2 linked regions of the Macaca fascicularis genome follow. The protein of the gene in region 1 purifies or fractionates together with the protein of each later gene. This does not show direct contact. Links are inferred from orthologs where the notes say so. Each region holds a gene or a part of one and is shown on either strand. Other genes may lie near its edges.

The links.
Region 2: the proteins of ZNF217 (region 1) and CTBP1 purify together in Homo sapiens (affinity purification with mass spectrometry; 10 studies listed by BioGRID and IntAct, counting the BioPlex papers as one, with this or other methods). This does not show direct contact. The link is inferred for Macaca fascicularis from reciprocal best matches to the Homo sapiens genes ZNF217 and CTBP1.

What each region holds. Positions count from the first base shown.
Region 1 is NC_088384.1:109,655,129-109,658,942, reverse strand, and holds part of ZNF217 (zinc finger protein 217), read left to right. Parts: intron 1-2,848; 5' UTR 2,849-3,191; coding exon 3,192-3,814.
Region 2 is NC_088379.1:1,332,331-1,336,144, reverse strand, and holds part of CTBP1 (C-terminal-binding protein 1), read left to right. Parts: intron 1-561; coding exon 562-716; intron 717-3,814. UniProt on the Homo sapiens protein: Corepressor targeting diverse transcription regulators such as GLIS2 or BCL6. Has dehydrogenase activity. Involved in controlling the equilibrium between tubular and stacked structures in the Golgi complex.

The sequences.
Region 1 (3,814 bases):
TCAGGGATGGCACCTTTGGGGTGCCTAAGGATTCCTGTGACCCTGGGAGCTTAGGACAGTTAGGCACAATTGATTATCAGAGTCTGTCTCAGAAGCTTCCTTGGAGAAAGAGTTGCTGCTGTTTTGCCAGGAGGGTTTCCTTCCCCATCTGACCACACAGGAAGACCCCTTGGCCTAGAATGCCTGCCCTCATCTCCAGGTCTCCCAGGCTGTTCACCCTCCCAGGCAAAGTGGAAGCTTCCTCTCTTCTTAGATCGTTTCCCACTGAACCTCCTTCATTGTCCTTCACTGCAGTGAAATAATCCTACAGGGTCTTGGGTGGAGAGTAATGGTAACTTCAGATAATTGAGAATTGGAACCAAAACATTCTTCTATTAGTAAATGTTTTCAGTAAGTTATGCTGTTTCCCTGAGTGGGAAATAATAAAGTTACCCTCCATCGTGTTTCTTTTTTTTTTTTGGGGGGGAGACAAAAGTGTTGCTCTGTTGTCCAGGCTGGAATGCAGTGGTGCGATCTTGGCTCACTGTAACCTCCACCTCCTGGGTTCAAGTGATTCCCAAGTAGCTGGGATTACAGGTGTGTATCACCATGCCCAGCTAATTTTTGTATTTTTAGCAGATAAGGGGTTTCACCATGTTGGCCAGGCTGGTCTCCAACTCCTGGCCTGAAGTGATCCACCCACCTCAGCCTCCCAAAGCATTGGGATTACAGGCGTGAGCCATTGTGCCCGGCCTCACATCTTATTTCTAATCCCGAGACTGAGTGTAGAGCTGGTGTCTGTTTTTGGAAAAGATGTCAGTAGAGAAGTGGAGTTCCCCAAAATTACAGTTTCACATATTAGTCAAGTTTCTAAAATACAGTAATAATGTTGAGAGCTGACATAGGGACTTAGATTTTTTTTTCCCCCAAATTCTCACCTAACTTTGATTTTGCTAAATAAGGACATTTAAAACAAAAAACAAAACAAAAAAAACTCCACTATTGCTTATTGCCACTATTTGATTTTTTGAAAAATAAGCGTATTTTAGCATCTAAAAGTAGGAATGACCTCAAATAAATGAGTCTTTGTTCTTGGCCAGGGAAAACGTTGTCAGAGTTTGATAACTGTTTTTCTAGGGTATGTGCTGTTATTCAGTTAAAATATTGCCTGGGATGCTGGCATTCACTAAATACTTGTTGAATAAGCAAATGAAACTTAAACTTCTATGTATAGAAACCTAAGTTGTCAGACTCATGTCCAAATATCACTTCACATTCTGATTAGCAGAGTAATTGAATATTCTTTTCAGTGTGTAGATCTATCCCCAGAATCACAGAATATTGGAACTGTAAAGGCCATCCTGTAGTTTAACCAACTGCATTAAATACATAATAGAAGGAGGTGGTATGTGGCAGTGACAGCTTGAAGGTTGTGACTAGAACTCGGGTCTCTGGTGTGTTCTATTATATCACACCAAGCTGGTCACCAGCCCATGTGTTGATCCTCCATTGTGATTGCAACAAAGAAAAGACTTCAGGACATTCCTTCTTTTACCCTAATCCTTGATCTGCAGTCTTATTTAGAAAAGCTTAATGTTAAAGATCTAGTTTATTCAAAACTAAAGATAACAAGGAATATGAGAATTTATTTCGGAGTGTAAAGGAGATGTTTCCTTGCCTTCTCTGAGCCTACAGGCCCTCGTTACTCTTTAAGGAAGTAGGGAGAGGGAGGAAAATAAAGTATGTTTTTGTTTTTTATGGTTACTTTGCTGGGAGTAGTTTGCATCCCTTTTGATTTTCTTGGGTGGAATTAACTGACTTAAGTTTTAAGTAGTTGGGACTATTTAAAAACAATGCCTATCCAATGTTTGCCATAAAGGCCGAGGGTATTGGCTTTAGAAGTTAATTCTTCTCCAGGAGTGAAAAATTAGCTTCTAAACCAGAAGCAGCGGAGCTAAATAAAGTAATTTTCCACCTGGCCAGTGCATGATGTGAAAGGTAGATTAAAAAACGAGAGGACCCATTTTCTGATGAAAGACTAAGCCCTGTTGAAACAGCCCTGTTTGAGGATTTTATTTTAAATCTATACATTCACAAAGGAGCTTTGTGTATGTCTTTCCCTATTTGTTGTTTGGACTAGGAAGCCCCACCCAGTGCTTGTTGAAGGCAGAAAGTTGTTGAAAGCAAGCCGGGATTTGAACAGTGGATTGAGGTTTGGAATATACAGTGAACCAAAATATATCAGGGTTCCCCTGCCCAAGATGAGTGACTGTTCTGAGGTGTTTCATATTTCTTGAATGGGGATTTTAGGAAAAGTTTCTGTATTTCTGTGCTCATTTTGTTGATCTCTGTATGTGCAATCTCTGAGGGTGTGTTTGGGCACTTAGATTTCTTGGATGCAGATTTGCTTGTATACAAAACATTTTAAATTGTTTTATGTACACTGGATTTAAAATTTTTTAGTTTACTAAATTTTTTCATCTTAATTTTCACAGTTCTTACAGTCTTTAGATTTAGGAAGGCTGTTGATGGCATCCACATGTGCATCTTAGTGACATTTAAAATGTGTTCAGCTGAATTTAACCATTTCTGACCTAAAACTTGACATTTTAGATTTAAGTCAGTAAAGCACTGATTTAAACTGGATTTTAACTGGATGGAATTCTGATTTAATAAGTGTACTGACTGGATAAAATGCCAGTGATTTAATTAACAAGCACGTTTAACAGGATGCTGTATATATTAGTTAAAAGTGAGGCAGTTGAATTAGGTATCTTCTCTGCTGCGTGGAAAAGACCGTCTGACTCACCCACACCAGCCTTCTCTCTGCTCTGAGTGTAGCTAACCGTTTCTGTTTTTTTTCCTCTAGGGTTTGGAAATCCCTTGTCTCCAGGTTGCTGGGATTGACTTCTTGCTCAATTGAAACACTCATTCAATGGAGACAAAGAGAACTCATGCTTTGTGCTGATTCATATTTGAATCAAAGCATTGGGGAGTCTGTATGCCTTGTTTGTGGAAAGAACCAGTGACACCACCACTGAGCTTCCTAAAAGTTCCGAAGAAGTTAGAGGACTAGACACTTTCTTTTGAACTTTTATAATAAATATTTGTTCTGGTTTTTGAAGCCCAGGGCTGTTAGAGGGGTGAGTGACAAGTCTTACAAGTGGCCTTATTCCAACTCCAGAAATTCCCCAAGGGAACTTTGAGATTATATGCAATCGAAAGTGACAGGAAACATGCCAACTCAATCCCTCTTGATGTACATGGATGGGCCAGAAGTGATTGGCAGCTCTCTTGGCAGTCAGATGGAGATGGAGGATGCCATGTCAATGAAAGGGACCGCTGTTGTTCCATTCCGAGCTACGCAAGAGAAAAATGTCATCCAAATAGAGGGGTATATGCCCTTGGATTGCATGTTCTGCAGCCAGACCTTCACACATTCGGAAGACCTTAATAAACACGTCTTAATGCAACACCGGCCTACCCTTTGTGAACCAGCAGTTCTGCGGGTTGAAGCAGAGTATCTTAGTCCGCTTGATAAAAGTCAAGTACGAACAGAACCTCCCAAGGAAAAGAATTGCAAGGAAAATGAAGAATTTAGCTGTGAGGTATGCGGGCAGACATTTAGAGTGGCTTTTGATGTTGAGATCCACATGAGGACACACAAAGATTCTTTCACTTACGGGTGTAACATGTGCGGAAGAAGATTCAAGGAGCCTTGGTTTCTTAAAAATCACATGCGGACACATAATGGCAAATCAGGGGCCAGGAGCAAACTGCAGCAAGGCTTGGATTGTCCCGCGACGATCAACGAGGTCGTCCAGGTGCACGCGGC
Region 2 (3,814 bases), on another chromosome or scaffold:
ATCAGGGATTCCGGGCAGCCACGCGGTAGCCCAGGCAGGAAAGGGACAACCGTGTTCCCAAAGGCCCGTGCTGCCATCTGTGTTCTCCAGTGTCCGGGTCCCTCCTGTCCCCCTGCCTCATGGAGCTGCCCTGGGTCTCGGAGGGTCTGGGAGGGTCTTGGAGTCCCTGGGAGGGTCTGGAGATTCCTTGGGGGGTCTCGGAGGGTCTCGAAGTGCCTCGGAGGGTCTCAGAGGGCCTGGGAAGGTCGCAGAGGGTCTGGGAGGGTCTCGGGGTCTCGGAGGGACCTTGGAGGGTCTGGGAGGGTCTCGGAGGCCCGGCGCCCAAGGAGGATGGTGGTGGGTGTCTGCAGTCTGTGTCCACTCGAGTTGGTGAACTGAAGCACACACGAGTCTGTCTTTCCCGTGGATTTTTAATTTACTTTTTACAAATAACAAAACGTATAGGATAGAAAACCCCCGGGCGTCAGCCCTCGTTGACCCGTGCACGGTGGGTGGCGTGGAGTGGGCTGTGGCCGCAGGGCCGCAGTGGTGCGAAGCTGAGCACTTGCCTCTGTCTTGCAGGCGTCCGACCTCCAATCATGAACGGGCCCCTGCACCCGCGGCCCCTGGTGGCGCTGCTGGACGGCCGGGACTGCACAGTGGAGATGCCCATCCTGAAGGACGTGGCCACTGTGGCCTTCTGCGACGCGCAGTCCACGCAGGAGATCCACGAGAAGGTACCACCACGTGCTGGCGTGGGGCTGGAAGAACCACACGCTGGAGGGGAGTGGGGAGGGACGGGAGCACAGCAAGCCCAGGCCGAAGCGGGTCTGTGTGCCACTGGGGCAGGAGCGGCCTCTGTCCCAGTCACCCTGCGCCATCTGGAGGTGGACACGGGGTTTCCCCTGCACCCCGTCGGGAGGTGGACACGGGGTTTCCCCTGCGGCCCGTCGGGAGGTGGACACGGGGTTTCCCCTGCGCCCCGTCGGGAGGTGGACACGGGGTTTCTCCTGAGCTCCCTCAGGAGGTGGACACGGGGTTTCCCCTGCACCCTGTCGGGAGGTGGACACGGGGTTTCCCCTGCTTTCCACTGGGAGGTGGACACGGGGTTTCTCCTGAGCCCCGCCGGGAGGTGGACACGGGGTTTCCCCTGAGCCCCGTCGGGAGGTGGACACGGGGTTTCTCCTGAGCCCCGTCGGGAGGTGGACACGGGATTTCTCCTGCTTTCCACTGGGAGGTGGACACGGAGTTTCTCCTGAGCCCCGTCGGGAGGTGGACACGGGGTTTCTCCTGAGCCCCGTCGGGAGGTGGACACGGGGTTTCTCCTGAGCCCCGTCGGGAGGTGGACACGGGGTTTCTCCTGAGCCCCGTCGGAAGGTGGACACGGGGTTTCTCCTGAGCCCCATCGGGAGGTGGACACGGGGTTTCTCCTGCTCTCCACTGGGAGGTGGACATGGGGTTTGCCCTGAGCCCCGTCGGGAGGTGGACACGGGGTTTCCCTGTGGCTTCTTGATTCATTTTCAGTTTTTCCCAGGGAGCAGGTCCTTTTGTGGCGGGGGTGGAGTGAGGTGCTTTCCCCCGCCTCAGATGCGCAGCGGTCTCGGCATTGCCCACGACCCGGCTGTGGTCCAGCAGTGGGCAGCCTTTGGGCAGCTTTCCTGATTCATGTTTGCTCAGGAGCTCCACAGGCTTCTCCGTGATGAGGGCTAGGTCGGTCCGGCTCCTCGTAGCCAGGGATCCGTGATTCAGAGCAGCTTTTTCCTGAAGACAGATGAAGAATCTGGGCCCGCAGGAGCTCACGGGAGAGGGCCAGGCCCAGGCCACAACCCGGAGAGGCCCGGAGCCTGCAGAAACGGGCGAGCCTCGCCAACTCTGGCCTGGGGCGTTGGCTGTTCTGGAAGAAGTGGCTGAGAGACTGAATTTGGCTTTGCTGGGTGCGGGACCCTGCTGGGATATCCATGGCCCAGAAGGTGACACCTGGAGTGAGGGTGACCTGGATTCTGACTCGCCACACGGTTGGCACTCAGCCTACTGACGTCTGAGAAACCTTGAATCTGGATTTTCAGAGACCCCGCACTGCTGACCCCAGGTGCAGAAGGAAATGGGACGGCCCCTTTAGAGGAAGACAGCGTCAGCCCAGGCCTCAGGTCATTTCTAGAAATCCTCGTCTGGCGCGGGGTCCGTCAGACACAAGCAGAGGTAACCAGGCAGTCAAGGAGATGCACAAAACCCACCAGCCAGGGAAGCGGCGCCGGCCCATAGGAGCTCCCTGTGCTGCCCACGGGCCAGTCACCCCAGCACAGCTCCCGGGAGGCCGGGCCAGACACCCGACGAAGAGCTGATGACCCTGAAACGGGGCGTAGCAGTGTCAGGGGAGAACATGAGATGTGAATCTGAGAAATGCTGAAGCTGAACGGGGGAACTGAGGGGCGGGTTTACCAGTGGGCCGGGCAGCAGTGGACAGGAGGGAACGCGGGAGAGGGCGAGATGAGGAAGGGTCTCCCTCACAAACTTCAGAACAAGACGGGGAAGGGGCTGGAAATGATGACGACCGCAAAAGCATTTCCAAAACGGACAGAAGACAACCTGATGTTAAAAATGTGCGTGGTCTGCCGGGAGCTCTGCCGGGGCATTCGCTCTGGGAGATTCTTCACGGTTTCTCATGGGGTTAGATTGTGCTTGTAATGCAGCCCAGCGGCCACGCTCCTTTATCCTGGAGCCTCGGAATGTGCCGCATCCACACGCCCAGCGGCCACACCCCTTTATCCCGGAGACTCGGAACATGTATCCACACGCCCAGCGGCCACACACCTTTATCCCGGAGCCTCGGAACGTACATCCCCACGCCCAGCGGCCACACCCCTTTATCCCGGAGACTCCGAATGTGCCGCATCCCCACGCCCAGCGGCCACACCCCTTTATCCCGGAGCCTCAGAACGTACATCCCCACGCCCAGCGGCCACACGCCTTTATCCCGGAGACTCGGAATGTGCCGCATCCCCACGCCCAGCGGCCACACGCCTTTATCCTGGAGACTCGGAATGTGCTGCATCCCCACGCCCAGCGGCCACACGCCTTTATCCTGGAGACTCAGAATGCGCGTCCACACACAGACCTGCAAGTCATGCTCCCTGGCAGCTTAACTCACCATAACCCAAACCAGAAGACTATCCCCCAGGCTGCCCTTCAGTGAGTGAGTGGCCGGGCGAACACTGGCCACCTCCCTTAGTGTCCTCCTCAGCAACAGGCGTGAACTCTGGGTCCCTACCACACCCTCGGTGATCTCGGCAGCGCGGTGGTGAGTGAAGAAGCTGGTTTCAAGGGGTGCATGCTGTATCATCTGTTCATCCCCAGGTGACGGGGTAAGCGTGACGGAAACAGTTGCCCGGGGTGCAGGTGGGGCATCTGCCGGTGGGCCAGTGTCTGGAATCGGCGTGTGGGTACATCACATGGATGTGTCCACACGCGTGCAAGGGGCTGTGGGTGAACTGCCCGTGGTGCACACCTGAGGGAGTCATGTGGCACCAGCTCGGTTTTGACAATGCCCTTGGTTAGGTACAGTTTTCTCATTGGGAAACTGTTTGTATTAAAGATATACATGTAGGAATGAAAAAGAGGCTCGTCGAAAACTTTCAATATTGTAAGCAACACTGAAACAAGTTTTGCCAACGACCTGGAAAACTAAGGCAAAACAGATGTTTTTCTAGAATTGCAGTAATCCCAAACTGCCTTGCCAGGTTCATATAAAATGCAAATCAGTGGTCGGGGTGCGGCCGGCGTGGGCCCTGGCGTGAGACAGACTTCCTGCTCCCCACCCAGACTGCACAGCCCAGGG